2 linked regions of the Arabidopsis thaliana genome follow. The protein of the gene in region 1 purifies or fractionates together with the protein of each later gene. This does not show direct contact. Each region holds a gene or a part of one and is shown on either strand. Other genes may lie near its edges. The genes, in order: CLC2 and AT1G47380.

Region 1 (16,808 bases):
AAAGCTTGGACAGAAAAAATGAGAACACTTTTCATCCGTAAGGGTTCAGGTTTCTCTTCCCGTAGCGTCATCACTGGAGATGCTTACCGACATGTGAATGAGGTAGGGATCCCAATAGAAATTGCGCAGAGAATCACATTTGAGGAAAGGGTTAGTGTCCACAATAGAGGTTATCTACAAAAGTTGGTAGACGACAAGTTGTGTTTGAGTTATACTCAAGGTTCTACGACCTATTCTTTAAGGGATGGATCCAAGGGGCACACTGAGCTTAAACCCGGGCAGGTTGTTCATCGCAGGGTCATGGATGGGGATGTTGTGTTTATCAACAGACCCCCGACAACACATAAACATTCTCTTCAAGCGCTTCGGGTGTATGTTCATGAAGACAACACCGTGAAGATTAACCCTCTGATGTGTAGCCCCCTCAGTGCTGATTTTGATGGTGATTGTGTCCATTTGTTCTACCCTCAGTCTCTTAGTGCTAAGGCAGAGGTTATGGAGCTCTTCTCTGTGGAGAAGCAACTGCTTAGCTCACATACTGGACAGCTGATTTTGCAGATGGGTAGTGATTCTTTACTGTCTTTGAGGGTAATGCTGGAGCGGGTATTTCTGGACAAGGCAACTGCTCAACAGTTAGCTATGTATGGCTCTCTGTCCCTGCCACCACCAGCACTAAGGAAGTCCAGTAAATCTGGCCCAGCTTGGACAGTTTTCCAGATTCTACAGCTTGCCTTTCCAGAACGTCTGAGTTGCAAAGGAGACAGATTCCTGGTTGATGGAAGTGATTTGCTGAAGTTTGATTTCGGGGTTGACGCGATGGGGTCCATCATCAATGAAATTGTAACTTCAATCTTCCTGGAGAAGGGTCCAAAGGAGACACTTGGATTCTTTGATTCGCTGCAGCCTCTATTGATGGAAAGTCTGTTTGCTGAGGGATTTAGTCTAAGTTTGGAAGACTTATCCATGTCTAGGGCAGACATGGATGTAATTCACAACCTAATAATCCGAGAGATTTCACCTATGGTGTCTCGCTTGAGATTATCATATAGAGATGAATTGCAGCTAGAGAACAGCATCCACAAAGTGAAGGAAGTGGCTGCTAACTTTATGCTGAAGTCATATTCCATTCGGAACTTGATTGATATCAAGAGTAACTCAGCAATCACCAAGCTGGTGCAGCAGACAGGCTTCTTGGGTCTTCAGCTTTCTGACAAGAAGAAGTTTTACACGAAGACTCTGGTAGAGGACATGGCTATCTTTTGTAAGAGAAAGTATGGCAGGATTTCTTCATCTGGTGATTTTGGAATAGTGAAGGGCTGCTTCTTTCATGGGCTGGATCCGTATGAAGAGATGGCTCATTCAATTGCAGCTAGGGAGGTAATTGTTCGCTCTTCAAGGGGATTAGCTGAGCCTGGAACCCTCTTTAAGAACCTGATGGCTGTTCTTCGGGATATCGTGATTACAAACGATGGAACTGTAAGAAACACCTGTAGTAACTCAGTCATCCAGTTCAAATATGGAGTTGATTCTGAACGTGGACATCAAGGTCTGTTTGAAGCTGGAGAACCTGTTGGAGTATTGGCAGCTACTGCCATGTCAAATCCTGCATATAAGGCAGTGCTTGATTCCTCTCCAAATAGTAATTCATCATGGGAGCTAATGAAGGTATAGCAATATCAAATCTGCCTTCTGAATACAGCTTTGTTCATCTGTATTGTTGTGTAATTGTTTTCTGTATTTGTTCTTTTCCCAGGAAGTTCTGCTCTGCAAAGTCAATTTCCAAAACACTACTAATGATCGGCGCGTAATCCTTTATTTAAACGAATGCCATTGTGGAAAAAGGTTTTGCCAGGAAAATGCTGCTTGCACAGTCAGGAACAAGCTGAATAAAGTTAGTCTTAAAGATACTGCAGTGGAATTCCTAGTCGAGTAAGAATTGGGTTTTAGTAACTTCAGTCGCTCTTTTTAGTGTTTGTGTTATTTTTTTTTTATGGTTTTACTAAACCTCTTTGCAATCTGCTTTCTCTTTACTTGCATGAAGATATAGAAAGCAACCAACTATATCAGAAATTTTTGGAATTGATTCATGCCTACATGGCCATATTCATCTTAATAAGGTTTGAATCTGGTTCCTTTACTGTTGAATCTTTCTGGAAGCCTCTACCTGTCATAGAAACACTTTCCTATTATCCTTTTCTTGCTGTGTAATTGGTGTTTTTGGTTTACTAGACATTGCTGCAAGATTGGAACATCAGTATGCAGGATATACATCAAAAGTGTGAGGATGTAATTAACTCACTAGGACAAAAGAAAAAGAAGAAAGCTACTGATGATTTCAAGAGAACAAGTTTGTCTGTCAGGTTTGTACAATGATTTGCTTTTCCTCTGGATGTCGTCTCTGGTTGAATGTTATGCATAATTTGTCCAGAAAGCAAGTCTGATGTTGATTTCTAGTTTTCCAGTTATCTTCTTTCCATCATTTTTGTTCTTCATAGCATAATGTCTAGCTTTGGTTTCTACCTGATTATGATTGATTTATTCTCCAATGAACAGTGAGTGCTGCTCTTTCCGAGATCCTTGTGGGAGCAAAGGTTCGGATATGCCTTGTTTGACGTTCTCCTACAATGCCACCGATCCCGATCTAGAACGAACTCTTGATGTTCTTTGCAATACAGTTTACCCAGTTCTGCTGGAAATAGTGATCAAAGGTATTTGAATAAAACTTTTCATTTTTGTATATTTCGCTTGTTTCCCTACACTTCGATTTCTTCTTTGATGGGGGAGCAGTGTATCTGATAGAGTCTTCCTTTCAAAATTTTGTAGTTACATGGCTTACGAAATTTTGTTTTTTGCCAGAAGTTTAATGAACCAAAATATTTTCTCAACTAGTCTGATTGAATTTTCCTCCAAGTTGTGATCGATATTCTGTGCTACTATAAAAGAAAGCCTATGTTTTAGTAAGATTTCTAGATACATGTTTTTGATGATACTCCTGTATCTAAACTGAGCAGGTGATTCACGGATTTGCTCAGCAAATATAATCTGGAATAGTTCAGACATGACAACGTGGATCCGGAATCGTCATGCATCCCGCCGAGGGGAATGGGTTTTGGATGTCACTGTTGAAAAATCTGCTGTCAAGCAAAGTGGTGATGCATGGAGGGTTGTGATAGACTCATGTCTTTCAGTGCTTCATCTAATAGACACAAAACGGTCAATCCCTTATTCTGTAAAACAAGTGCAAGAATTGCTTGGGTTATCCTGTGCTTTTGAGCAAGCAGTACAGGTACTTACTAACTTAAAACGTGATCCGTTCCTGGATCTTACACTTAAGTCATGATACTTCTTACATATTTCATGTTTGGTATCACATTTGCTCATTGTTTGTGTAAGGATTTTAAACGTAAGATGTTGATTTGATTTGCAGCGTCTATCAGCTTCAGTGAGAATGGTCTCCAAGGGAGTTTTGAAAGAACACATCATTCTCCTAGCAAACAACATGACTTGTTCAGGGACTATGTTGGGTTTCAATTCTGGAGGTTACAAAGCTTTGACCCGATCCTTAAACATCAAGGCTCCATTCACAGAAGCAACTCTGATTGTTAGTAGTTCAATCCTTTAGTCTAATACAAATTATTTTCTTAGACTATATACTGGCCGTCATGTTAACAGGAATTACTTTTTGTGCCTTTAGGCACCAAGAAAATGTTTTGAGAAAGCGGCTGAGAAATGTCATACAGATTCACTATCAACAGTCGTTGGGTCTTGTTCTTGGGGAAAACGCGTGGATGTTGGTACAGGCTCACAGTTTGAGCTCCTATGGAACCAAAAAGAGGTAGACATTCTCACTGGAAATCATACCAATTGACTGAGGTTTTCTCATATAAGTTTGTTATGTAATTTTATGTCATTTGTTGTCAACCTATTTGCAGACTGGTCTAGATGATAAAGAAGAAACAGATGTGTACAGCTTCCTTCAAATGGTCATATCCACGACAAACGCAGATGCATTTGTTTCTTCCCCTGGTTTTGATGTTACAGAGGAAGAAATGGCTGAATGGGCTGAATCGCCCGAGCGAGACTCTGCTCTTGGAGAGCCCAAGTTTGAGGACAGTGCCGACTTCCAAAATTTACATGACGAAGGCAAGCCATCAGGAGCCAACTGGGAGAAAAGCTCTTCGTGGGACAATGGTTGCAGTGGTGGTTCAGAGTGGGGAGTCTCAAAAAGTACAGGTGGTGAGGCAAACCCGGAGTCTAATTGGGAAAAGACTACAAATGTTGAGAAGGAAGATGCTTGGTCTAGTTGGAACACTAGAAAAGATGCTCAAGAATCTTCCAAGTCAGATTCAGGGGGTGCTTGGGGTATAAAGACAAAGGATGCTGATGCAGATACAACACCAAACTGGGAAACAAGTCCAGCTCCGAAGGATTCCATTGTCCCAGAAAATAATGAGCCGACTTCTGACGTTTGGGGACACAAATCTGTTTCAGACAAATCGTGGGACAAAAAGAACTGGGGAACTGAATCAGCTCCTGCTGCATGGGGTTCTACAGATGCTGCTGTTTGGGGTTCTAGTGATAAAAAGAACTCGGAAACAGAATCAGATGCTGCTGCTTGGGGTTCCAGGGACAAAAATAATTCTGACGTTGGGTCAGGTGCTGGTGTTTTAGGTCCCTGGAACAAGAAGAGCTCGGAAACTGAGTCAAATGGTGCTACTTGGGGTTCTAGTGACAAAACCAAATCAGGTGCTGCTGCATGGAATTCTTGGGACAAAAAGAACATAGAAACTGACTCAGAACCTGCTGCTTGGGGTTCTCAGGGAAAAAAGAATTCTGAAACTGAGTCAGGTCCTGCTGCTTGGGGTGCTTGGGACAAAAAGAAATCGGAAACTGAACCAGGTCCTGCTGGTTGGGGTATGGGGGACAAAAAGAATTCTGAAACTGAATTAGGCCCTGCTGCTATGGGTAATTGGGACAAAAAGAAATCGGATACGAAATCAGGTCCAGCTGCTTGGGGATCTACAGATGCTGCTGCTTGGGGTTCTAGTGACAAAAACAACTCGGAAACTGAATCAGATGCTGCTGCTTGGGGTTCTAGGAACAAAAAGACTTCTGAAATTGAATCAGGTGCTGGCGCTTGGGGTTCGTGGGGACAGCCAAGTCCCACTGCAGAAGACAAGGATACCAATGAGGATGATAGAAATCCGTGGGTTTCCTTGAAGGAGACCAAAAGTAGAGAGAAGGATGATAAAGAGAGAAGCCAGTGGGGAAATCCAGCCAAGAAATTTCCATCTAGTGGTGGCTGGTCCAATGGTGGTGGTGCAGACTGGAAAGGAAATAGGAACCATACTCCTAGGCCACCTAGATCTGAGGATAATTTGGCTCCCATGTTTACAGCAACGAGACAGCGCTTGGACTCATTCACCTCTGAGGAGCAAGAGCTGCTCTCAGATGTTGAGCCAGTCATGAGGACTCTCAGGAAAATTATGCATCCGTCTGCGTATGCCTTTCTAGTTCTTACGCTCTGTTTATACAATTTCCAGTTCTATGTATAATTAATTATGCTGTTTCACATGCCATATACTTGTTATGCTTCATCTATCTAAAACTATCTTCTTTCGATGAAGGTACCCTGATGGAGACCCAATTTCTGATGATGACAAGACGTTTGTCCTGGAGAAGATTTTGAACTTCCATCCCCAAAAAGAGACAAAGCTTGGTTCTGGCGTTGACTTCATCACGGTAAACAACATTTCTCCTTAACAAACTTAGCTTCTCTTCTAAAGCTTACTTAGCCTTATGCCTGATGTGAAATTCTTGGTTGAACAACGATGTAGGTTGATAAGCACACCATCTTCTCAGACAGCAGGTGCTTCTTTGTTGTCTCAACTGATGGGGCCAAACAGGACTTTTCATACCGAAAATCCCTCAACAACTATTTGATGAAGAAATACCCTGACCGTGCTGAAGAATTCATTGACAAGTACTTTACGAAACCTCGGCCTAGCGGAAACAGAGACAGGAACAACCAAGATGCCACACCACCTGGGGAAGAACAGTCTCAGCCTCCGAATCAGTCTATAGGTAATGGAGGTGACGACTTTCAGACACAGACTCAGTCTCAGTCTCCATCTCAGACTCGGGCTCAGTCTCCATCTCAGGCTCAGGCTCAGTCTCCATCTCAGACGCAGTCTCAGTCTCAGTCTCAGTCTCAGTCTCAGTCTCAGTCTCAGTCTCAGTCTCAGTCTCAGTCTCAGTCTCAGTCTCAGTCTCAGTCTCAGTCTCAGTCTCCATCCCAGACTCAGACTCAGTCTCCGTCTCAGACTCAGGCTCAGGCTCAGTCTCCATCATCTCAGTCTCCGTCCCAGACGCAGACATAAACTCTTGAGAACCAAAGAAGATTTGGTTCGTTTAGGTAAACCATTCAGTCTCCACTGTTTTGTTTTGATGTACATAAAGAGTGGAGAGAATGGCGGTTTTTATCATTAAAAGACTCTGATGTGAAGTGCAAAACAATGTGTAAATGCAGTTCTCTAGTTTCAGATCGTTTGTCCTAAAATCAGGTTTAGGGTTTCAGTGACCGGTTTAGTTATAAAGTCTAGCGGCATTGTAGTGATGTTTTGACATTGACTATTTATCGAGCAATGCATTTGCCATCTCATTTGCTTCTTGTTTGAAACCTTCGAGAGACGAAAATGATTGCCTTTCTAATCGCATAAGCACATGGTTAGAAATTATATCTTGTGTTGACCGATGCAGCTCCTCCGGCAGAAAATCATCTAATTCAAAGAGCTCTTGTGTAATTGCACGAATTGAGAAATCAGTTTAGTTTTATGAAATTGAAATCAATAATAGAGAAATTACATTTTATTCAGATGCATGGATACATTGTTTAAATACATTCATATGAACATTCAACACGGTAGCCTACATCATATATTTTCCCTATACAACGGTTCTTGCAAGAACCACATAATGGTCGAGAAATATTACATTTGGGAAGAACTTGAACCCTGCATACCCATTTATTGAAATATTGACCGGGCTTGATATATGGGTCTCCACCAATTAAGCATTCAATATGAAAAGTGGTGCAACACTCGTTGCACCAGTAGAATACTTTTGTGCATGTATCCTTTAAACTACGTTCACATATTTCACACCATTCTTGCTCACGTACTTCTTCACCAAATGAAATTGTGAGGAAGTGTGTGTCATGCTTATATTTTATTTTGTATGGTAAGGTAACACACTTAAAACATACAATGAAATTGCATTTGATGCAATTTAATTGTTTTAAACATTCTGTTTTGCATATATGACATATGGGTTTTATTTCTGGGTTTAAAGCTAGGAACAAGGGATCTTCATGACCTTTGTAATCAAACGGCTCAGAAATTAAAGCGCACCTTACATCAAGCTTGAAAAAGTTGCATACCTCCATCCTACAGTGATAGGCAAAGCCAATAGAACCACGATCACAAGCGTTGCAACGGAAGGTATTGTAAGTAAAGCTATTGATAACCTCCAATACAAGTGGGTGAGGATGTAAGGCATGTTGGATTCTACGGGGAGCCTTAGCACATGTTTCATGGAGGATGAAATCACACTCCATACAAACATATAAGTTACCTTCATAGATAGGAATGGCACACGCTTGACAAAGCATGTTTTCATCATAAACGTTGCTGACCTCGAGTCGGAGATGATGATTATGATGAAAATAAAGTATCACTCCTTCAGATATCACCTCGAACGGTCCATCATTTTCTGTTATATCGATTATCTCTGGTATACCTTCGAGTTCTTTTCCATCCCACACATCTTTCCCAAGAGCGCATATTGAATGAACAACATAATCGCTACACGTGTCACAAGTATATGCACCATAATCAACGTTAATACTTAAACGGCAAACTCCACAAAACCATTCTCTAGATGTAAGAGAAAAAGTGAACGAGATACGATGACGGTGACGTGATATCTTGATGATGTGTGGGGAATTCATACAGTCATTATGAGTTACAAAGTTACATCTGAAACAAACGTAGGTGGGATAAATTTTTCTCAACAAACCACAAACATTACAAGTCAAGGAAGTTTGTCTGGGGAAAAAAGTGAGAGGATGGATATGCTTTTTTGGTGGGTCTATAAGAAAAGGTATTGGCTTCATCGCACATATGGGATGCATAAAAGCCTGGCATGTGGTGCAATGATAAATCAACCAATGTGCTTTTCTTCCACAACATAAACACTCAATCTTACGAAAGTTATCATCATGAAAGAAAAGTTGGAGATAGTGCTCAGGGTGGTAAGGATGTTTGATTATAAGTGGAGATTGAATGCATTCTTTGTGTAATTTTATGCTACAATAGTTGCAGAAATAATAGTCGGTGCCGGAATTTGAGCCTTCGCATATGTAGCATCCACCATCAGCATCAAATTCTTTATTGTTGCACCAAAACAAAGGGAGTACATGATGATCATGAGAGGTCGTCGTTGTAGAAAGGACGTACTCGGGGGAAGAATTAAGCGGATAAGTGTCTGAATACGACTTGATTTTTCGACGTCGTGATCGAGGGCATAAGAAAAGAGGTTGAAGGTCACTGGAGGAGGTTACGGTCTGTGTTTGGGGTATGGGGCAATATTTCGGATGATGGTATACCAAAACAAGGTTACCATCCTTTTCCACCTCATAAAATCCTCCGACGCTAGAATCCATGAATGTGTTAAGTCTTTGTTTATTTTTGTTTTAGGCTTTTATAAAAAAATATTTGTCATACAAGATATCAAGTTGTTAACATTTTTCCTCTATAAATACGAAAATTTGATTCCAAAAGTTTTCTTCTACTCTTGATTATTAATATACTTAAACGTGAAAACATATGGTTGATTTTGTTCCTTTTCTCAGTAGTTGTGATGATAATGTTCTTCTTTACATGCAAATAAAGAATCAACTTTTCTTTGCACATAGTTTTGTTCATTTCTGATGTTCCATGACTTCAAGACTCTATATTAATCGTGCTCAATGATTGTGCCAATTCATTAGTAGTGTATAATTTGAGACTTTGTGAACTCAATCACGAAACACACAAAAAGAAAATGAAGGTTTATTCAAAAAAAAAAAAAAAATGAAGGTTTGAAATGGAAAATGAAACAATCGTACCAAAACCAAATTGCAAAACGTTTTAAACAAGAAAAGAAGAACACGTAGTTTCAATGATCCGGTTGAATTAGAAAGTAGAACAACCGAACCCACACTAAATTGCAAAACGTTTTGATTAAGATAAGAAGAACACGTATGGAACATTAATTGTAATCTAATGGATCGGTTGGAACCTAAACCATAACTAAACCGGAATACTCATGATGAATTGGAAGTATTTGGGCTCGAAAAAAGCCCATTAAGAAAAATGGAAATAAAAATAGTCACAAATCTCCGTTATTAATTTTTGCCATAAGCTTGAGAACACTTGAAAAGACAAGATTCGCGAGTTCTTCGTTCTGCCTTTTTTTTTTTTTTTGTGTGTTCGAGAGATGTCTGCCTTTGAAGACGATTCCTTCGTCATACTCAACGATGATGCGTCTGAGTCTGTTCCAGTCTCAGGCTCTTTTGACGCCACTGATTCTTTCTCAGCTTTCGACGGCTCACTCCAAGTCGAGGACTCCGTCGACGATGTTTTTGCAGCGCCGTCTTCTGACTACGGTGCTTACTCCAACGGTGACGGCATCTTCGGATCCAACGGGGATCACGACGGTCCTATCTTGCCACCACCGTCGGAGATGGAATCAGATGAGGGATTTGCTCTTAGAGAATGGAGAAGGTTAGATCTACTCAAAGTTTTGATCTTTGTTGCTTTTTGTTTACTTCTTCCTGAAGAAAATCGATAAAGTGGATAAATTTAGTTGAGAATCTCTTTGATAATCTGAGAATTTCAATTTTGAATTTTGATTCACAATTTTTGTGAATTGAAGTTATCTGCTAGTTAGTGTCCATTGTTCTCAGAAGTAATCAGTTTATTAGATTGGATCTGTTACTTTTGCTTAGAGTTTATTGCTCAAATCGTGTGTTCTAGAATAACATCTTGATCCGTAAGCTTGTAATGCTTGTTGAGTTGATTAAGATGTATAGATCTGATTTCGTGCTATGGCTTTATTATGTTTATGTGTAGACAAAATGCAATTCAACTTGAGGAGAAGGAGAAGAGAGAAAAGGAATTGTTGAAGCAAATTATTGAGGAAGCTGATCAATACAAAGAAGAGTTTCATAAGAAGATTGAAGTAACTTGTGAAAACAACAAAGCAGCTAACAGAGAGAAGGAAAAGGTTTGTTCTTTTGCTAAAAGATTTGAATTTTTTATCATCTTTTCTCAATCTGTGTTGTTGTCATGTGGTTTGTGGAGAATTGTCAATGCAAGTCAATGGCTTGTTGATATTAAAATTTTCAAACTTTGACCATCTTAGTCTTAAGTCAACTGTGATTGATTATCTTAATGCATTGTCAGTTTTGAGATTATCTTAATACATTGATTATCTTCATTACGTGTGTGATCTTTGATACCTTTTTATCTGCATATTGCATTGTTACAGTGTTGATTAAACTTTCACTTATGTGTTTATTTGTCTTTGAACACTTAAGCTGTATCTGGAGAACCAAGAGAAGTTCTACGCGGAATCCAGCAAGAATTACTGGAAGGCAATAGCAGAGCTAGTTCCTAAAGAAGTTCCAACAATAGAGAAAAGGAGAGGAAAAAAAGAGCAACAAGATCCTAAGAAGCCAACAGTCTCTGTGATTCAAGGTCCAAAGCCCGGTAAGCCAACCGATCTAACAAGAATGAGACAAATATTGGTGAAGCTCAAACACAACCCACCTTCTCACCTGAAACTCACTTCTCAACCTCCATCGGAGGAGGCGGCTGCTCCTCCAAAGAATGTTCCCGAAACCAAGCCCACTGAGGCAGTTACTGCTGCTTAAAAACCTCCTTTGTTTTCTTATTCGTTGCTTACATCTGTGTGAATTCAGTCTTTGCATTTCATTATGTGTTATAAACAGCTGAGAGATTTTATGGTTCATGTGTGTTATTAACATAATTATGTCATATTGGAATGATAACTTTTTATGTTTTAGTCAGTTACCATTGAATAGTGGTTAATATCTCAAATCAATCGGTTAAAGGATCCATCCATTTTAGGGTTAAAGTAGAGACGAGAGTGGAGAGGTTTACATAAAACATCAAAACGCTACTTCACATATCATCATTATCAAACTCGTGTGATAATTAAAACTCACAAACAATAAAAGAGAATCTCAAATGTGAACGTTTTACAAAAGGCTTTTCTTCTTTCTTCCTTCATCTCCCTTGTAAGCTTGCAGGGGACCTGCAACCTCTCTCGCTGCCTGCGTCGTCTTCCTTTTCACTTGCCTCTAAGCAAATGCCATTGTTGTTGCAGACACTGATCTCTGAGCTTGCGTTGCTGCTTGTTGCTAGTGGAGAAGAGTCTGAAACATTCATCGGTCTACCACGTGTATGTCCAGACCTCACACTGTACATTGATGATGCTGGAATATTCGTCATTAGTGGTCTCAGGTTCCCTGGAATAGTTCTACGTATATCCTGTTTTCATCAAAACGTTTGATCATCAGTTAAACGCAATTGCCACCACTTGAGGAAGAGAGAAGAGAGAGATACATACCATATGCCTTATTGCCATATCAAGGGACTTCTTGGAGAGCGTTCTTCCAAATCCTGCACTGTCGGGTGATGAAGACTTTGCAGACAAGTTACCATGAGGAGAACCCTTGTCATCTGATCTGGGTGGAGCAAGTTTCCGCATGTTTATTACTCTCTCCACCATTTTTGTTCCCATCATCACCGGACTAACATTGTCACTGGCTTTGGAATATCCACGATTAACCGCAGGAACAGAGCTACCACTAGAGTACATTGGTGCTCTTCCTCTTGATGGTGAACATGATTGCCTTCTTGGTCTTCCTCCTGGAGGGCCCCCTGGCTCAACTGAACCAGAACGAGAGCTTGGAGCTCCAGGTCTGCCTCTTGTCGCTGAAAGTGGCCTTTCGGGTAATGTTGTCCTTAGATTTGGAGGAGTTTCTAATGAGAAACCAGGCATGTCTGACGGCTTCCATGGTCTTGACCTCACTGTAGGAGATGCTGCACGAGATAAAGCAGGGTTCTTAGATGGTGTTGGCATAGGCTTTGCTGGCGCTGGAGAAGAAGGCTTGATTTGGGATATTGTGGGATTTGCTGTAGTAGTTGCAGCACTTGCAGAAGCAATTGGACGGCGAGTTGGTGTAGATGACCTTGATATGGTTTTAGATGGAGGAAGTGTGGGTCTTGAAGTTGGTGTTGAAGATCTGGCAGTAGATCTTGACAGAGGTGTGGTGGACCTTGAAGGACCTGCAGATTTTGTGGTGGTGCTAGGGGTAGATCTAGTTACTGAACCAGCAGATCTAGCAGTTGAGGTAGTCGGCTTAGATGCAGTAGGTGTGAGCCTAGATGATGATAAACTTGTTGACCTACTCATAGGCGTGGGCTTAGTCGTTGCAGATACTGTGGACCTCGAGTTAGTCAAAGAAGGTCGAGTAGCTGAGGAGACAGTGGCTCGCGAAGTGGGTGTTGAAGGCCTTGAGGATTTTGAATTTGCCGTCAGTGTTGATGATCTTCCAGTGGGTGTGGCAGGTCTTGATCCAGGTCCTCCAGATGATGAAGGTCTTCGACTTGCTCCACTGGAAGAGCTCAATCCAGGAGAAGAAGTTTGTTGTCTAGATGTTAGATGGTTCCTTGCAGCAGACTCTGTTGAGGAATTTGCCAGCTACGACAGATAATTCATAGGTTACCATAACGAAGTAGTGAAAATGTGCTACTCTAAAAAAAATCCAGAGCAACATCCCACATAGCAATAACGATAAATGCGATTTACTAGTGTAAATCATGAAACTTGAAATGTAAACGTCACAGACTGATGCGGCAGGTTAAACTAGTAGTGGCGATTCAAAACATATAAACAATAACAGCAGAGCTTTATTTTAATACTGGTTGCACTACATTAGGTTGTTTATCTAGTATCCATTCCAGGAGTTGATAAAAGAGGTCAGAACACTAAGCAATAACATTCTTACTCTGGAAGTCAATGTAGCCGGGCGACTCTTTGAATCACCAGTCTGACTCATCATAGTCCTATGTGATTCCATCTCCAGCGATGGAAATAGAGGCGTACCTGGAGGGGTCAGAAGCCTTCGAAAGACAAGAAGAAGTTAGGGTGGAAATGATAAACAGATAAATGATATATTGTTCAAGAAAGTATATGAATGTCTAAGAAGAGGTAAACAGAGATGCTGGAATGATGAACACCTTATGCAGCAAAATTCTAAACTTGATAAGAATTCAGTGCAAGACTCGCACACCTCACAAACAAAGGGTTCCAAATTGTGACACCAAATTCGAGTCTATTAGATTAAACACATGCCTTATACAGAATGATGTAATGTGAAGAAACAACACAATTTCAAGGAAACAAAACTACCACACATATATTACTTCAGAACCTCATGGTTAAGATACAGCAAATCAGTAACTATACTATCACAAAGAATACTTAAACCGCCTGCACTTAAGGTGGCTAAGAAAATTCAAACCATCACCGGTGAATATGTTACTGAAGTAATGAACCATAGCGTCGCAACATGAAAGTTTGTGATCAAAAAGTTACCATTCATAGTCATTTTTATCGCCTTCAGAATTGAGAAAATCATCAGGAGCAGCCTTCCGAGATGGTGGAGCACCACTTGAGATGTTAAACACCGGCGAAGTTCCATGCTTTGAACCTAAATAGACCAAACCCCATCAATAACTAATCAACCTCCAAGCTCAAATCAGAAACCTGATTCCACAAAATTAGAAAGAAAGAAAACATATTACATACCTAATGGAGTTTCAAACTCATCAGGGTTATTGTTAAGAAGAAGATTATCCTGCTCTTTCTCACGGCGTCTCATCTCAAGAAACAAAGAAAGCTCTTCATCTTTCTCAGCCATCATAGAAGCCCTAAGCTGTTGCCTTTGTCTCTCTGCTGAATCCAGCAATAGAGACTCTTTTGCCCTAAAACTTCGATTCATTGCTCACCAAACTTTACAACAGATCAAAGAGATACACTAACTTAGCTTCCAATTTACTCCCAACGGATAATAATTATCCTATAATCTTTAAAAAGTTAAATAATTGTCCTAAAATTTAAGAACCCCAAAACGAAAAATCGAAACTTTCACAAGCTTAACTTGCAACACATTTTTCAGAAATTTCCCATTTTGAAAGTTAGTATAAAAAAGGGGAAAGTTAGCTTTTTTAATAGAAGGAAGACACGAGCTTTCTTCTCAAAGAAACCGCCATTATCGAGGAACGGAGCTCAAGACCCTAGCCCAACTACAGTTAACGGAGAAAAAAACCCAGAAGCAGAAGAAATAAAAAAAAACTAACAGAGAAAGAGAGAGATTTTGGGAGATCGAGGGAGAGAGATTGAGGAATTGGGAGAGAGAAAAGAGAAAGTGTGAAGACGAGTGGCATTGAGTGTAAATACTGAGCTTTGTGATCGGTTAAATTGGAAACTTTTTCATAAGTTCAAAAGAAAAAAAGTTTATTTTTTGGGTTTGATGAGAAGAAAAATTCAGTGACGGGACATGACATCTGGACTGGTACCTAATGTGTTATCAATTGTTTCTATCGCTTGAAGCCTAAGGATTCTCAATGATTATTCCGATGTTTTTTTGTTTGTATTTTAAGATTATATTGTCAGAGTTTTATATTCTTCAACCATTGAAACACGACTTACTCGAAATTGATCAATGATTCTTGAGTTTATTGTATTGTAATCACGTTTGTTGAACCATATAAAGAAATATTGTTCGGAGTGGTAAGACCTTTGTTTGAATCCTAATTATTAAAGTTGAACACTATATAGACCTAACTAATAAATTTATTTCAATTGGAAATTAGTTTTTTCATACATTATTAGGTCTTAATCTGTCATTAAGTACCTACTGATTAGGTAACATACTAAAATTTCTAGTTTTGGCAATGATTTTAAGCTTAAATATTCTAAGAAAAATATAAATTTTTAAGCTCATTATTGGCAATTGTGTTTTGGGAGGGGTTGACATTTTGAAAAGTTGGTGGATCGGATTGTTGTTGTTCAGTTGGTTAGTAACTCACTTAAAACACTATTGAGTTATGAAGTCTAATGTTTGATCCGAAGATCGGGCCGGGCATTAATCGATATAAGCTAAAAGAAAGGGTGATATATTGTCATAGTTCGAGTGTCTTTTGGTTAAAATTCCGGTTTAGAATGCTCAAACGAAGTACTAACTATTTTGGTATCACTTTGTTAGACAAGTTTGGAGGAAGGAGTGATAGTGCGTGATGTTTGTTGTCACTATATTGCAACATTTCTCAACATTTTTGTTGTAATATACGATAAACTGTGTGGTTGTGTGAAACATCATTTGGATTTCTTGACTAAGGATCGGATTTGCCGTCGTAGATGGAGAGCTAAGTTTGATTAATAGTTTAAAACTTAATATTCCACTAGATTTATATGATTGTGATTAGTGTCGTACACACTGGTCGAGACTTGTAGGGCAAAATCCTAAATTTTAGATGTTGCTAATTTGGAATACACTGCACCTTCATTTGTCTTCCCTAGGCTCAAGCCTACAAGTCAAGAGATTAGCCTCTGTACCTCTATCTCTAGTATGTATACCCGTGTAATCTTCTTCTTGAGGAAAAAAGAAAAAGCTCATATAAGAACTTCTATGAAGAAAAAAGGTTTACATAACTTAATCTGATGAAAGAGACAAAAAAATTCAATGGTCCAGTAAGACAAGATAATATAAAAGGACAGATATTTCTCCTACGATTTATATGGTCAAGGGCATGTACAATGTCATTGTCACCACCATCACATAACTGATGAACACCATCATGTTGAAAACAAAGTGTTTGGAGAAGACAAAGCCAGTAGTTGTCAAAATGGTACAGAGAATTTTGTCATAAATGAAGTATTATGACACGAAAACGTTGAAGATAGATTTGATCATGTGGTGTATTTCCTAAAAAAAGGAATATAAGTTACTTCAAAATCCTTACAATCACACAATCTTTAATATGTCAATTACATCTAATGATATGAAAATGTATCCTCTTCTATATAAAGATTAAAGAGTAAACAATATAAATGAAAATGTATCCTCATGAGTCATGATTCAAGAATAACATCAACCATATCAGTGTTGTAATGTTTCTAATCTAACACATCTTATGTCCACCACAGTCCAAATTAAGCCAAGTGCAAACTGCTTAATGACATCAACTCCAACAAGCAGTCGATTCTTGCGAGCCCGACAAACCCCATCAGGCCCAAGTAGTTGTTTTCTTTCAATTGTTTAGTTTGATATTAATGTGACCTCTGTTTTTTTATCCTTTTCGACCATCAATTATTTTTCCTGCTTAGACAAAGTAAGTTTGTAATGGTTTTGAATCGTTTTTGTATGAAATATTTTTTCTCACGAAGAACAAAATTCTTAATGCTCAACAGAAAAATCAAATTCAAATGTTACAAAGTATCGTACATAATTTCCTTATATATACCATATTACACACACAAAGAGAGCAAGAATTTGCTATTTTATGATGACTGAGAATATAAGGTACAAGAAGTTTACAAGAAAAAGTAGTGAAATCATAAATTTACTCAGTCACAGCAGAGCTAATCACTTTAAACCTCTTCATATGCCATTT
Region 2 (16,808 bases), on another chromosome or scaffold:
CTTTAATTTATTTATTTTGATCGCTAAGTTGTTCGTTTGCATGTCGCTGGATTCAGCGACCAAAAGCAGCGACTAATCGCTGAAACCAGCGACTGATCGCTAAAAATTTCAGCGATCAAAAATTGCGGTCGCTGGTCGCTACTTTTGGTCGTTGAACCAGCGACAGGCAAACGAACAACTTTTGGTCGCTGTCGCTGGTTTCAGTCGCCAGCGACAGGCAAATGAACAGGGACTACATGTCTAAATATTTTAAATCTTTATTTTTCATTTCCCAAATTTATCTATCTATCTATTACTATCTACAACTCCATCACTTACTTTCAAAATAAAATAAATTTTTTAAGTAGCTATCTATTATTAACCTAATATGTGTCTTATTCCACCACTGTTTCCCATTATAATTTTTTTTTTTATCATTTTATCATATTTATCTAAACCATTTACATAACTACACAAAACCAACATTAATTTACGTAGAAAATGAATAATGTTATTTGTTTAAATATTTCGTGTTGCAATATTGTTTTGTCATTATTTTGCAATAGACTTGTAATACGATTGTAAGTTTGTAACGTTCACTCATCATTGCAAAAGTATAGCAAAATTTGTTACAAATTTTTAACGAATATAATCATTGCAAAAATATCGTTGCAACAACACTGTTTTTTTTGTAATATATATATCGATCGCACCTAGCAATTGACTTTGTATTCTCAACAATATCTCGAGGATGAGTTCATTAGGGATGGAATCTGAAATCATGATCGTTTTATTTGCTGGTCGAACACAAAGACAGAGATATTAAGAACTAGACAAACCTAGCTACCATGAAAATAAAGAGACCCTAACTGAAAATAAAAGGAATCAAAATATGAAATTTTTTTTGTTTTCTTCACCAAATAAAAAGACAGAGTTTTTAAGACTATTTAAAAATTAAAACTCACCAAAGAGACGAAAGCCGTGGTAAAAATAAAATTAAAATAGGGCGGTGCTAACCTAAGTCCAAACCGAGAAATTAAAGTCCTAATTTCTATGTTTCAGATTATAAGACTTCCTACTTCTTAGTGGTTAATAATAATTACTTTGTACGTAAAAGAACGGGTGAATTTTTTTTACCAAAGAAGCTGAAAATGTTTTTCCTTCAGCCATAACTAGTCCCGCGAAAGCTTGTGTAGTAGACAGTGCCGGCTCATACATATTATGTGTTTTAGGGCAAATTTTTTTAAAATATATATTTTATACTCCTTTTGCATATATAATATTTTTTGTATCCCTTTTATATATACAAAAAAGTTGTACCCCTTTTAAATATACAAAAGAAGAAAAATTGTTCGGATGTAGGACGGTCGCACTACCCGTCCCTGTACTTAAGCCGGCACTAGTAGTAGATGAACCTAAACATAAAGCTCTAGTTGTGGATGAACCACCTGAATTTACATCAAGTATATATATACGGTATGTCACTTGAAGAAACTGATCTGCTACCAAAACTCTAGCTATGTCCATGGGTTGATGAGAGTACGTCTATAACCTTACCAACTGTCAAAACCAGTGTAATGATCGTCAGAAGTTTTATAGGAAAAAATCCAATAGATGATCTATATAAAGGATTTTGCTTGACCCATGTTAGACGGTTTTATGAACATTACTTCCTCACAATGCAGCACTCCTCACTATCCGAGAACCAGCTATAGGCAATGAGTTAGGAACCAGTCTTGGTGAGATTTGATTTGAGGTCTGAAGGTTTGGAAATTGCTTATGTATGCTCTTGATTTGAACTAAAACTATATAATATATGCTTAATGGCTACCGTATTTTTTTTTTTACTTTCTGGATCAAAGCAATCGGAATAGAGGTGTTGATCTAGAGAAGGAAAAACTAATTGCATAAGTTTCCAATTTTTATAAAGTATTTACTTTCTTGCATCAAGTAGAGAGTGTTAAGTAGCAATTAATATTGATTAAATTTCCTATAGTACTCTTTCATTCAATTCATCTATATTCAAATTTCTTTACCAACTATTCCAGGTTTTACTTTCTTAAGGACAACAAGATGCAATGTGTTACACACATAGGCACAAGTCTGATAAGAGAAAAGTACGTGGAAAAATGATTGCATTTTCAGTAGAAAAGAATTGAATGAAATATAGATTCATCTCAAATTTTACCATTTGGGTTGAAAGTGTAAAACTTATTATTCATATTTTTCAATCTTTATGAGATGACTAAAGAAGAGAAAAATAAGAAAATTTTGCATCCACTTTACATGAGATCATGAACGAGATGCAAACTATTCATCTCTAATTTTCTATATGTGATATCTGATTATGTAGCTTGTATACTCGGATTATGATGTATTTTTGGATCAATTATCATATTATTTTAATGTTATTGTATGTTGTTCAAGTTTGATGTTTTGTTTCAGATCCATTTCTTTTGGTATGATCTTGTGTTTTAGTTTTATGTTGTTTTAAGATTTTGTTGTAATAAAACGACTGCCATTTATGGTTAAAAACGCAAACTGCATTACGTGGTATCCTAGTCATTAGCGGAACAATAACAACCTTTGGTGATTTGATGGTTTCGGCCGGAATTGTTTAATTCTTGTACGAAATTAAAATTTATTGTGAGTTTATGTAGTTGTAAGCACACGCCAAAAAATTATGTGTATAAATACTCCAAAACAATAAAATTTGTGGGGGAATATGCCATTTGTTTTCCAATATCTCATTCGTTTGAGGATAACCTTACACAATACATTTGCAGTTTTCGACATGTTTCTAGATTGTAAGAACAAATCTAGACAGGTTTACTTTTCTTATCTACGTTACTACAATCTCCATCTTACATTTTGAGATGTAAATTCTGAGGGTTCCTTAAACAATATAAGTCCTCTTATCTTTGAAGACATAACTCTGGAAGAGAGAGAGGCACATAAAATTTATGAGCGTAGAAGACGAGATATAATTAAAGTTACATGAAAAATGATTTGATTTCTATCAAGAATTTGTCTTCGGTTTATACATTGAAATAATTGCACACATACTTGCATATCTTCCTTACCCTCTCTTCCTAAACGACTCAACATTTCAACAGACGTAATAAAGCTACTGTCTCTGGTAGTTAGTTCTACTCATTTTTGAAATACCAAAGCACAGAGTGATCACAAATGGACAAAAAAAAATGAAAAGGAAAAATGAAAAGAACTTATGAATTACCTCTACTTTGAAACAAGTTTGATGTAAGACGTCGTGAAGTGGGAGAAAAATAAATAAACTTCCTTGGAGTCTGCTGGAGAATGGTAAGAATGTTGGTGGTTTATCAAGGAACTTCATATCTCTCTATGGGTGAAAAATTACAACCCGAAGATCCTTGAACTGCTCCAATTTACTCACAATACTGTTTTGTTAGTTGCTTTGCCAATAATTTGCAGATTGCTGGCTAGTCGCTTTCACTACTATGTCTATCTGAACATTCCAAAAATATATTACAATTAGCTTTCATAAGAAATCTATAGACAGATTCTTAGTCGATTTGCAAAATAACGGGAGGTAATAAAGAAGGATATATAAGTATAGTGTGTACCTCCCGATGATCTTTTCCCTTCCATTGCGTCTTTCTTATCTTGGCAACTTGCACAAAGGAATGGACCATCCCAGGGACGAAGCTTACGGCAATTATCCGACCCGGCATGGATCGAGACACCTTCTCCAGGTTTCACTTCTACTTGACACACAGCACACATGAACAACTTAAACATATTGCAAAGCGGGTACTTTGTGTCTAATCTGCAATAAACAGAAGAAAAAAACGAAAGAAAACTTGGTTAAGATTAGTAGATCGAAATGAAGCTATCAAGTATGAAAAATGGTATATGCTTAAGCACATATATTCAGAGAATCACACCTCTCTGATAGCATAGCAGAGCCCTCTTCAAAGAGTTCTTCAACTACATCAGGTTCTGCGTACTCTTTCTCGATATTAGAAGAGGAGTCAGATGTTTTCCTTTTGAACATGGACTTTAACATTCCTTTTCCTTGCTTTTTTGGAGGCGGCACGGAAGCAGCCGGTTTTTCTAGTGGCAATATATCAACAACAATACAGGTTGTATCATCACGAATACCTTTTTTACCCACAGCTTCCTGTATGGAGTAATAAAATATCAAGGTACTATAAAGGCAAGAAAGAATATGTAGAGAATATATCTAAAATAAAGTAATTCAGATACTATACTTTAACGATATGCTCCGCAGAAGATTCAGGTGGCAACCCCCGGCAACAATCAAGAGCCTCTTCTGCAGATATTGCATCCCACACACCATCACTTGAGATGATCAGTCGACCACCAGCTGAAGACAACTACATAACCAAAATAAATAGATACAGTTTTCAGTATAAAACTCAATAATTAGAATGTCAGCTTGTGCTATAAGCGCATAAAGATCAATTTAGATTAGATTTAGTTATGAGTTTTGAACCTTGACTTGCTTTACATAAGGAACTGGAACAATGTATTCGCCAACATCCAGATCTCCAATGGATCTTGAGAGACACAGACCACCAGGCCAACATCTCAGAGGACCAATCTAAAAAAATAAGATTTAGTTATCAAAACTCTTCAATTTGACGGCACAAAGATATTTCCCTATGTGTTACATTCTACAAAGCTACCACAATATGACAGTTCATCAGCTAAGTATAATACAGTCTCGCAAAAACATCCAATTCTGGAACATCATCCTAGAAGTTTGCACTCAGTTACCTTTTAGTTATATATTGCTAGTATCAAGAGCGCATGATAACGTGAGACTTAATGCATACAGAAGAAACTTTCAAGAATTATCTAAAGAAGTACCTCAGTACCGCCACCAGTATTTAACCGACCAACTTCACCACCACTTGCAGTGACTCGATCTCGCCTGAAAAGAAAGCCAAAATATTGAGATGCCATTGTATACAATCAAGATTATCATCAGTTGGGTGAATAGCAGGAAAAAATCTGACTTACTCTTCTTCGTTTATTTCAAGCCGATGATCAGCAGACAAATAATAGACACCGCCCTCAGCAGGCTCAAGTATGCAACGAGAGTCACCTACAGATGCAACACTCACCACCCATCCTTCTACTATGACAAAAGTTACAGTCGTTCCAGACGTCCTTGCTGAAATGCAAGAAAACAATAAAACCTCAAACATAGCCTTCACCAGAATGATATAAGAATATAAAGACACAGACGAGTTCACCCTCTTGGGACTTGAATCACATCACAAGGTTTTTCATTGATAAGTTCATACCTCTTTCCTGGAAATCTTTATCAGTTTTCACAAATCCTGCAACCAAAGCCCTAGGAAGTGCAGCAACCCACTCATCTCTGTTAAGATCAGAAGGTATTGCAGCTAATACATTATTCAAAAGGTTCTCTTTAGTGTAGATAGCTGCTGCAGAACCATTGTGTCCATCAAAAAGCTGCAATACACATTTCAATGTTTTAACTACAAAAATCGATAGGACCACAATCAATAGAGAAAGAAGGCAAATAATTACCCCAAAAACGGAGAAGGTGGTAACACCATCGCCCATAACACGTTGACACTCTGTTTTAACAAGAGTAAAATCCTCTCCTTTCTTGCTTTGGTTGTGCTGGCCGTGTATAAGTTCAGGATTGTCTATCTTTTCATTAGCTGATTCACGTTTAAGCAACACAGAAAGTGGAACTGTATGATGTTCTCCCTTTGTTGACATTGTTTCCCCCTAAGCTTCAATAAATATAAAAGCTTCCTCTAAGCTGCGTCTAGTTCTTCACCAAATCTCTATACCATACAAAAAACCTGATACACAATTAAAAGAAAAAAAAACATTCAAGAATCAGAACCTCTAAATTTGAACAATCTGAAACTTGAAATCCAAGTTAGTCAAATTCAATGTATAAATCCAATCTATACTCGTGAAATTACAATAACATTCCGATCTACATTGCAGAATCAAACTAAAAAAACTCTGAAAAAAAAACGATCTCGTCGAAGAAAACATGAATTAGATCTTCAAATTCTTTGAGCAACACAAATTCAAAATCAGAATGCGTCCTCGAGAATTCTCCGTCGCTCGCGGATAAATCCAGTGAAAACATATAAAAAGTTCAAAATCGGGAATGAACACAAAAAACAAACGCAATCAAATGATCTGGAAATGTGAAACGCAGATTATCTCATCGAAAGAAGCGATAAAACTCTAAGAATCGAATATGATCACATCGAGCGAAGAAACGATAACAATGGGGGAAGGAAGAATAAGAGAAGAAGCGTTTACGATTTGGATTTGCAATTAGACGGCGACAGAAGAAGATCGACGATTAAGCGAAGAGAGACGAAGGAGACGATTCATCTTCCGATCGAAATTCCGGCGAAGTGGAGAAATGCCATTGGTTTCAACAGCCGTAGGAGAGAGAGAAGAGAGAAAACGCGCAAAGAGAGGAGGAAGGTGAGGAGGTTCTCTTTCTTCTCTCTGTCTCTTTTTAATTTGTTTTTTTTTATTGTTTGTTTATTAAGTAATAAAAATAAAAATATAAAAAAAAATGTTCCGCCGTTCTCGCAGCAATAAGCACCGTTATGTGTGTTTTTATTCGGCGCTGATTGAAACGCTGTCGTATTCAGTTCTCACGTGGTCGACCTGGCTTTTAACATCCCCCAAATCTCGGATTATCAACACCAAAAATTCAACACACCCCATACGTAGTAGTACGACAAAAAAAAAAAAGACTATTTATACTTGGATCTTGAAATGTATTCTATTTTTATGTTATGGTTTTACAATAAATTGATTTCACATTTGGGTTGTGAATTCTCACAAGAATTAGGAGTTTATAGAGAGAGATTAGGATAGGATCCGCAATATATCGTGGTCAAATATTTTATTTATGTTTGATTTTTATAAAATGAATTTTTATGTATAATGTTTGTTGTTATTTGTGTTGATTAATGATTCTCGATAATTTTGTTTATTATTTTTAGTGAGAAATAAGTTTACAATATTAATAAGTTTATCTTTTGGTGTATCACGGGTCAAATCTTAAAAGACAAAATAATATTAATCTGTTATGTTATATTCACATTTTTGTATCAAAAATATATAACTAAAACTTTCAGTGTTTATAGATTTAACTTGTAGAATTATTGTAATTTAGTAAGTTTGTATTACAATTACACATTTAGATGTGTCAAAGAAGATTAACACTTATTTTGATATAATGTTGATTTTTAAAAGATTACAAAAAATAGTGTTTAAGATTGTATAGTTGTAATTTGATTGTTAATTATAGGATTCCACTTGTAGTATATTGTCTCATATTAATATTCATCCAAACATGTTCCATCCAAACTCATCTTGCAATATAAATCCGTCTTATCCAAACTCGTCCCGCCATATAAACTCGTCTCGTCATAACTAAACATCATTTTTTTCTTTCTTTCAACTAATATATTTATTTAAATTATATATAATTTGATTAAATTTCAAATTTTTAATCTAGAAGTATTTGTTGTTTGTTTTGTTTAGTGAAGAAGAATAAATATAGATCAAAACCTGTCCCACCCTATATATCCGTCTCATGAATTTAAACATCATTTTGTTGTTTTTGTTAATGATACTTTTATTTAAAATACACATAATTTAGGTCAATTTAATACTTTGATTTTGAAATAGTACCCATACTATATATAATTTTATTCTTATACATTTCAAATATTATACACTGTATAGACCCTACTTATTATAAATACTTTAGGTAGCTTAGAGTAAAAAATAATTATTCTGTTTAGAAAACAACACCAAAATTTTTTGATACTGTAAAATATTAGAACTAAATTCAAATAAGAACAAATACAAATTTAAGCAAACAAATATTAGAAATATAATTTCAAAGAAATTTCTTATATATATATATATATATATATATATATATATATGTAGTTGATACATTTATATAATTATTAATTTATGATATTGATGAGACCATATATTTACATAGGATTTTCAGGAAAATTATTATCTTATTAATGTATCGATTTGTATCACTTTTTACACTGGTCTCAACTCGAGATCGGAATAATTTATTAATTTATAGAGGTTATTTATTTATCGACTATTAATTTATAGATGTTTTACTGTATGTAATCTTTGTAGATCTTTATAAACCTGAATTATGACCCATGACCTGTGTATTTATTTAGTGAATTTCTATCGTTACACTATTACAATTTTCTAATGATATCTTAATAATATTTGTTACACTTTAAAGGTTACAACTTATGTTTTTACTCCCCAAATACATAAATTCATAATTAGGACTATACATAAATATTTATACTAAACATTTTCTTCACCCTTTTTATTCTTACCCATCAGAATCAAACACTTAAATTTAATTATAAGAAAAACTAATTTAATTGTAAATCTAATTTCTAATCTCTAATCATTCTTTTATCCAAACAAAACAATAATTTAATCACATTTAATTGTCAAAAATTTCAATCCTAAACAATTTTTAATGACTCCAAACTGACATATAATCTCGTTTAACTACAAAATCTAAACTATATTCCTCTTTTATAAAACCAAATCGATATTTAACCTTGTTTTATTATTAAATTTAAACCCCTAACCGTTTTTTATAAACTGAATCCAACATTTTACCTCATTAAATTATAAAATCTAAACTCGTTCATAAACTTAAACTAATATTTAACCTTGTTTAATTATAAAACATAAACTCTTACTCTCTGTTATAAACTCTAACCCTCCCTTATTATCCAAAACCAATATATTACTTTGTTTTTTCTGTTAACAAGGATATTATAACTTTGTTTTGGTGGGAGAAAATATTTTACAATTAAATATATATATTTGTAGTAGATTTTGATTGCGTAGAAAAAGAAAGTGTGAATAAAAGTGAATCCAAAAAAATTCAAAATAAAATCTCAATCAAAAGACACGATTGATTTTGTGATTATAACCAAATTCCCAATTGATATTGCTTGCCCTTCTTGCAGTCAAAATAGCTTCGTGTGGCAAAGTAAGATATGGGTTTTCGTTGATGGTTTTGTCTGGGAGCGATCTGGATATGATGATGTTTTTGTTAACAAATCCATGGTTGAATTTGTCTCAAGTTTGGGGATTCACATCGATATCCGATGCCGCCATTTCGATTCTCGTTCTTAGGGTCTTCGTTCTTTTTACCAAAGGCGTTATTGTCCGTGTGATGATAATATGGTTCATTCACGGTGTTTTTCCGGGTATGCCCGGTCTTCTCAGTCTGGCAGCAATAGTTGCCAACATCGTTTTAATGCAAATTTGCGCCCTTCGACGCATGTGGAACCCCGGAATCACTTCGGAGACATTTGCCGTGAAGATCTCTAACAACGTCTTTGGTTTGAGATGTATGAATGGATGGGATTACTTCGGTATCAAGCCAAATTTTCTAATGGGCACTATGACACCGATACGGACTAATTGGTATCGAGTTGTCGGTTTCTCAAAACTTTCTCCAGGAGCAACGAGCTTTGTGTATGTGATGTGGAGTTTCAAACAAAGAATGCCAATATGGCATACATATCACATTCGAGTAAGATGGCTAATGAAAGAGGAACATAACATGTTTAACAACATGTTATCGAGTAAGACTTATCGAAAGGAAGCATCGTTAAATTCACTTTTTCAGTTTCGTCATCTTCTGGCACATAATTTTGCTTTTGTAATAAGTTGGTTTCTGAAGTTTTGTATTGGCTTTGTACTTGCTATTGTAATACTAATTGTCTAATAAAAGTTTTTAGAAGGAAAAAAAAAAAAGTGAATCCAAAAAAATTCCGTTTCGAAAGATCTCAAATCTTTGGGAGATATATTTTACTAACATTCAGTTGAAACCCTAATTACGAAAACTTTTGTATATATATAAAAAGAGTCGGAAAAAAAAAAAAAAAGAAGAGATAATGGCTCCTGAGGAGAAGCTTCCGTGTGAACTGATTGAAGAGATACTCTCTCGTGTCCCTCCTGAATCTCTTGTTCGCTTCAGAACCGTTTCTAAGAAATGGAACGCCCTCTTCGACGATAAGATGTTCATTAACAACCACAAGATGACATTTCGATTCATCTTAGCAACCGAATCTAAGTTCTACTCGGTAAGCATGACTCCAAAGATAGAAGTGCGTGAGTTAAGTTTGGATATTCCCGGTTTAGAACTTAAACCTAAAATTTTGATTGATTGCAATGGGTTCTTGCTATGTGGCATGGAAAAAGAAGGCATCGTGGTTTGGAACCCGTGGTTAAGACAGGCTAAATGGATAAAGCCAAAGGTAAACCAACCTAGTTTGTGTTTCAATGGCATAGGTTATGAGTATGATAACATGAAACTTGAGAGTAGTGGTTACAAGACCCTTGTGTCTTATCCTAATGAATTAGACCCTACTAGATCAGTTTGGAAAATCCATGACTTTGCCTCCAATTCATGGAAATATACAAATTTGGTCATGAGTTGTAGTAGTGGTGTTACTTTATTCGGTGCAAGTGTATCACTGAATGGAATTTTGTATTGGGTTGCCTCTCATCTAAAGAATAATTCCTTGTTCGTCCTGGTTTACTACAATTTTTCCAATGAAAAGGTCTACAAGTTTTCTGATCTACCATGTGGGGAGAACCATCATCACGATGTTCTTGTTCTTAGGATTTTTAGGGAAGATCGGCTTTCGTTGTTAAAGCAATGCCATCTAACAAAGAAGATTGAGATTTGGGTGACCAAGAACAAGATTAGAAACTGCTCTAGTGGAGATGTGGATTCAGCGGAATGGATGAATTTCATGGAAGTGTCAACTCTTAACTTGCCGGTTTTAGTACACCCAAGTTACTTCATCGACGATAAAAAGCTCGTTGTGTGTTCTTGCGACCAAACTGGCCAAGCTTGGATCTATGTTGTGGGGGACAATAAGTTGATCAGTAAAATTCAAATAGATTCTGTGGTTGGTCCCTGGCCTTTGCATTGTAGCTTTTTCCCCAGTTTGGTCTCAATACCTCGAAGTCAAACTAAAAAAGCAGCATTACAAGTTTGATTTCATTAGTCTGGCTTCTTTTGTGGTTTTGGTATGTTATTTATTTACAACTATATTCTGTTTTCTAGTTTTCCTTTTTGTTTTCCTTTTTTTTTTCTTGGCATAATAATTTATTTTCGAACTTTTATAGCAAACTAGATTGAATGTTTACGGACTCAGTTTACATCTAACGATGCTGAGTTCTATCCCAAATTATTTTCTTTGGAAGCATTTGTTAGCTACTGCGATATAGCAATAAAAGCGTTTTCTTGTTCTACATGTTTTTTTTGTTCTGTTCTTATATGTTCTGTTCTACATGTTATTATATGTTTGCCAATTAATTTGAGAAAATGTATGGGTTCAACATGAATTATTATAATTCATATTGAAGAAACATGCTATATATTAACTTACAATCAGGTGAAAAGTTGTTCCCCAGTATCTCATCTATAAATAGGGAACAAAACACTAAGGGTGTGAATGGTAACATATAATTTGCGGAATTCACGAAAGAATTTTGAGAACCGCACTTAGAACACCAATCATCATTTATCATTACAAATTTGCGTTTTTTATATTTTTCTTAAAATGTATACTGCGTTTTTCATATACAGCGTAAAAGTACATGGACCCCCTTTTATAACTGAAACATCTTATTACCATGTGGTACAAGTAAAATACGCGATGAATGATATTCATTTCTTTTTCTTTAGCTATTAAAAATATATGTATATGTATAATTTTTGTATCTAAATACATATTTTTTATCTTTTTTATATCATATTTTTAAGGCGTGGACATTCGGGTATCTGTACCCATTTAGTTTTTTTTTTTCTTTTGGGTATCGGCTCTATTCAGGTATGATGTTAAGAACCATTCGGGTATTCTAAAAATTTGGTTCGGTTTCGATTCGAGTTCGGATCGGTTCGGTTATTTTAGTATAAATGCAAAAGTAACCAAAAATACTCAAAATATTTTCGGGTTTGGGTCGGTTCAGATTTTTTACTCATATATACCAATAACCAAAATACTAAATTTACCTAAAAAGAAAACTATAACATTGGTTACTTTTATCTCAAATATATTTAAATGTATATGAATTACTAAAAAAATCTAATATATTCGGATTTATAATTATTAATATATATTAATATATATATATATAATCTATAATCCGCACCGCAAGTAGTTTTTTTCACCAATCAAACATTATTTTGTACCGTTTATTTTGTACAAACCGCACTTGTCCCGCAAATATATTTCTCCCGCACATACCGCAGTTGAACCGTACCGCACTATAATAACGCTTTTTCCGCACAACAAAAACCGCGGTTACCATTCGGACCCTAAAGCTCCGAATGGTGACTGCGTTTTGCGGTATGGTTCAAATAGTAACGAAAATACATAGATACATATGTATATGTAGAGATTTTGATACTGTTACAGCATTGTTGCGATGTAGTTTTGAGTGCGGTTTTGGTTACCGTTCACAGCCTAAATTAACGTTGTAAGACCTGATGGTGCAAGTTGTTGCTCATTTTTTTTGCGTTTTTTCTTTTCTTTTTACAATTTCCTAATTTATAGCAAACTTGATCCACTATCTCGTTCTTCATCTTGACTTTGAGCCGGACATTATTTTGTTAAAAAAAAGGGCAAACGAAGCGCTGTCGTTTGGTTTCTACATTGTTGACTTGGCTAGCTTAACCCCAAATCTCGGATTAGGAAGCCAAAAATCCAACCCACATACAGACAATATATACATTTAGTACTAAAAAGACTGTTATGTTGATTTTCAACGAAAAATAATACTCTTCTATAGAAACAACATCCTCTTCTATAGCAGCGATAGTGTAGATAATTCCAACTGAAGCAATTCAACAACAACTATGAGAACAAAGGCTATCAACACCACGCATCTTCCCAATCAACACAAGAGAGAAAGATGGGAAGGTTTGGTACAAAAAGTGATTGATGGGCAACCTAAAAGCTATTTAGATATAGGGAAGATGTTTTTGAGATTAAAGTTTGAAGTCATTCCGCAATTTTTAATTAGAAGTGACCAATGTTGCCACTAGAATCTTATATTAAAGCTCAAAAACTTTCTTTTTCATTTTCTTTGTTTTGCTCGGGGAAGAATATAAGTGAGAAAGGAAAATGCTTTACATGTGTTACTAAAAAGGAATATAAATGGACCGATGAGTTAACTTAACGTCTGATGTGTCATTACCAAATCCTACGTGTGAGAAAAAATGTAATATCTATTGTGCCAAACACACATCAACATGAGCAATTCGCAAACTCCATAGAGGCATCCCTGACCACAGAGTGCGTTCAACACTTGCTTTACCTTTAACTTCCACCTATAAAAGCCTCATCAGTCTCTCTTATTATATTCACCAAACTCATATCAACACTAAAACCTCATCACACTTCTTCACTCGGTGAATCTTTCTTCAGGCCTCTTCATAACAGAAAAAAAAAATGATGTCTTACGTTGCTAACTTGGTCATCAAGAGTTTTGACCGTGCTTCCGTGGTGTATGTTGAAGATGTGGTGGATAGCTCTCGAGCGACATGTGTTGAGAATGGTGGTGATGACGATGACAGTGGCTATGATTATGCTCCTGCTGCGTGATTGTCTCCTATTAGTATAATGTAATTTAGAAGAAAAAAAGAGAGAGAGAGAGATGATAAGATAATTTAGATATTAGTTAGACCATTTATGTACTAGATTGTGTCTCGAGTTTTCTTGTCAATGAGCAAACATGGTTTCCTAGTGTCTTAGTCCTTAACCACAATCACTTTTTTTTGTCTCTTAATTTTGAAAGTTATCAGTGTAACATTCACTTTTACTAATTTTTAAGTGGTTAGTATTCACTTTCTTCATTCACCCAAGATTAAAAATTTCACTCGAAGAAATCCGGATCTAAAGTTTGAACCAACTGGTTCATCATTCAAGATGTGAAAATTTTACAATTTGAAAGTATACCAAAGGGGAGCCATACATGTATTTCATTAGTTCATCAATTTCTCTAATTTTTGTTTTAATCTTCTTTGGTTAATGAATTTGTACATTAATCGTTATTAGCTCATCGTATCTATTTATCCATCCAGAGCGGCAGACCCAAACTAGTTTGTAATAATTAGGTGTTTGTATACATGTAGATAAATACCATAAGAAACACCTCGACACTGTTACTCCACAAAATCAAGACATGTAGATAAATATTTTGGTGTTTTGGATGACTGCGCAAATATTTATTTATCAAGCTAGCATATTCTCGGAGAAAATTTATATGGTGTCAGTATAATTGTTTTACGCAAATATATATCTCCTTTGGACTGTAATAAGGGCCTCAAAATAGATACAATTGTTTTAACTAACCCTCAAGGGACAAATGAAACATATGCGGCTACTTCGTGGCAAATTGTTTTTTGTCTATAAATCCATTGCCAGTTAGTGATAACTAGCCATGGATTATTTTCATGGATAACTAGTCACAACATAGTTATATATTTCTCATTTTTTAATTTATGGCCAAATCATGAAAAAAACGTGGCTAAATTATGGCACAAAGAAATCAGACCAATATTTTTTTCATGGTTTTGTTAGTACTGTAGTGCAAGTGATACATATTATATGGATTGGTTTCATAGAATATGTTACATGTACGTAAATCATATATAGTTTTACAATTTATAAAACCCTAAATATCTTTCTACAAATGGTATGTAGTTTAGAGGTCGTTGGTTCCTGTTACGCTTGAGACGAACCTAATATTACATGTTGTGATTGTTGGCCTGAAGGGATTACAGTTTTCAGCCCAGAACCTCTTGGTATTAAAAACAAAATTGGTCTGTAGTTTGTTTGAGGAGGTATAAAAAGTCGAATCAGTCAAAGATACTAGAGGATGTACTAGAACAAGTAAACGTCTTGATTTCTTTCGATTTGTAATTATTGAATGTGATGCGGCTTTACAAGTACTGGACCACATTATGATTTCGTCCAATGTGTTGCGAAAAATCTCTTCATTATATGTGTGCCAAGCACACTTGTTTCTAAGCGCATCACAGTCTTTACTGAGGTTGACCTGAGGCTGAAATGGTAATAGATTGATCAGTTCATACTATTGTTAACTTTTTTTTTCACATATAATGATCCCAGTGGCGATCTCTCCTCCGCTCAGCAAACGCAAATAAATCTTCTAGCTTCCGTTTTGCTTAGTTTAAGCATTTTGTTTTGGTTCATTAACCACAAGAAAATGTTTTTTTCTGTTGAGTTTTTCGTCATATAAGACCTTGATAGTGATTCTTGCCTTGGGGGCAACATGGCTAATAATGATCAAGAATCGGAATATGGTCAAGCTGCACATGTCAAAAACGTTGACCAAGATGACGAAGATATCTATGACCTAGTTTTGCGTTGGGTCACACACGGACACGGGTTGTGACCTGGCTGGCTTCTAGAATATTTTCATTTGTTCGTTTTCTAGTTCTAGTTTAAATTCCCGAACTATTTATTTAGTTTAAGTTCCATTGCTAAAAAATTTATTAATAAGTACAATATTTAAAATAGTGTATTCCGATAACATGGAATCATATATACGATATTGTGTAATTTAGCACTTGACAAAACCTATAATTTATGAACAGGCTAGGTCACAAGGTACATGTACAACTAATTGTTAATAAATAACGAGAGATATCAATTCCCAAAATCACATTATTTAGAAGCGACCAATGTTGCCACTAGAATCTTATATAAAGCTCCAAAAGTCTTTCTTAATTTTATTTTTGTTGAGCTTGGGGAAGAATATTAGTGATAAAGGAAAATGCTTTACATGTGTTACTAGAAAGGAATATAAATGGACCAATGAGCTCACTTAACGTCTGATGTGTCATATTAAAATCCTACGTGTGAGGAAAAATGCAATAACTATTGTGCCAAACACACAGCAACATGAGCAATTCGAAAACTCCACAAGGCAGTCTTGACCACAGAGTGTGTTCCCCACTTGTTCTATCTTTGGCTTCCACCTATAAAAGCCTCATTAGTCTCTCTTATTATATTCACCAAACTCACATCAACATTTGAAGCTCATCATACTTCTTGTGGCTTTCTCTTTACACCTCTTCATTGCTTTCATATCTCTACTTTCATTCATATCCAACAAAAAATATCAATGATGTCTTTTGTCGCAAACTTGGCCATCAAGAGATTTGACCATGCTTCCACCGTGTATGTTGAAGATGTGGTAGATAGTTCTCGAGTGGCATATAGTGAGAATGGTGGTGATGACGATGACAGTGGCTATGATTATGCTCCTGCTGCGTGATTGTTTCCTATTAGTATATGATTGTAATTTAGGAGGAAACAAAAAGACAGAGATGATAAGGTAATTTAGATATCTAGCTAGGCCATGTATGTACTAAATAGTTTGGTGAGTCTTCTTATAGATGAACAAACATGGTTTCCATAGATGTTTACTTGTGGATTGATATTGTCTCTTAATTTTGAAAGTTAATTTAACTTTATAATATTGCTAGTTTCCAAAATTTTTACTTTTTTGATATTATATTTCTTTTAATAGATTTTTGTGTTTCTGGTTTTTACTATTCATTTACGCAACATGAAACTTTCCAATCGAAAAAGTCGAATTTAAAGTGTGAACAAATTGGTTTAGACTAAAGCGAAGTCACACATGTATGAACAAAATTCAGAATATGAATAAGACTA

The links.
Region 2: the proteins of CLC2 (region 1) and AT1G47380 purify together in Arabidopsis thaliana (affinity purification with western blotting, with the first as the bait; one study listed by BioGRID). This does not show direct contact.

The regions. Positions count from the first base shown.
Region 1 is NC_003071.7:16,717,027-16,733,834, forward strand, and holds CLC2 (Clathrin light chain protein), read left to right. Parts: upstream 1-9,397; 5' UTR 9,398-9,537; coding exon 9,538-9,824; intron 9,825-10,172; coding exon 10,173-10,326; intron 10,327-10,639; coding exon 10,640-10,975; 3' UTR 10,976-11,181; downstream 11,182-16,808. Other genes in the region: NRPD1B (nuclear RNA polymerase D1B), read left to right, coding at 1-1,665, 1,754-1,929, 2,042-2,117, 2,230-2,360, 2,554-2,708, 3,012-3,286, 3,428-3,601, 3,695-3,835 and 3 more; AT2G40050 (Cysteine/Histidine-rich C1 domain family protein), read right to left, coding at 6,893-8,722; AT2G40070 (flocculation FLO11-like protein), read right to left, coding at 11,352-11,615, 11,695-12,831, 13,139-13,253, 13,729-13,843, 13,942-14,134.
Region 2 is NC_003070.9:17,369,564-17,386,371, forward strand, and holds AT1G47380 (Protein phosphatase 2C family protein), read right to left. Parts: upstream 6,529-16,808; 5' UTR 6,307-6,528; intron 5,829-6,306; 5' UTR 5,743-5,828; coding exon 5,545-5,742; intron 5,467-5,544; coding exon 5,295-5,466; intron 5,162-5,294; coding exon 5,008-5,161; intron 4,919-5,007; coding exon 4,855-4,918; intron 4,586-4,854; coding exon 4,478-4,585; intron 4,359-4,477; coding exon 4,233-4,358; intron 4,142-4,232; coding exon 3,906-4,141; intron 3,788-3,905; coding exon 3,585-3,787; intron 3,467-3,584; coding exon 3,441-3,466; 3' UTR 2,808-3,440; downstream 1-2,807. Other genes in the region: AT1G47389 (uncharacterized protein), read left to right, coding at 9,089-9,811; AT1G47390 (F-box and associated interaction domains-containing protein), read left to right, coding at 9,981-11,093; AT1G47395 (uncharacterized protein), read left to right, coding at 13,554-13,706; AT1G47400 (uncharacterized protein), read left to right, coding at 16,255-16,407.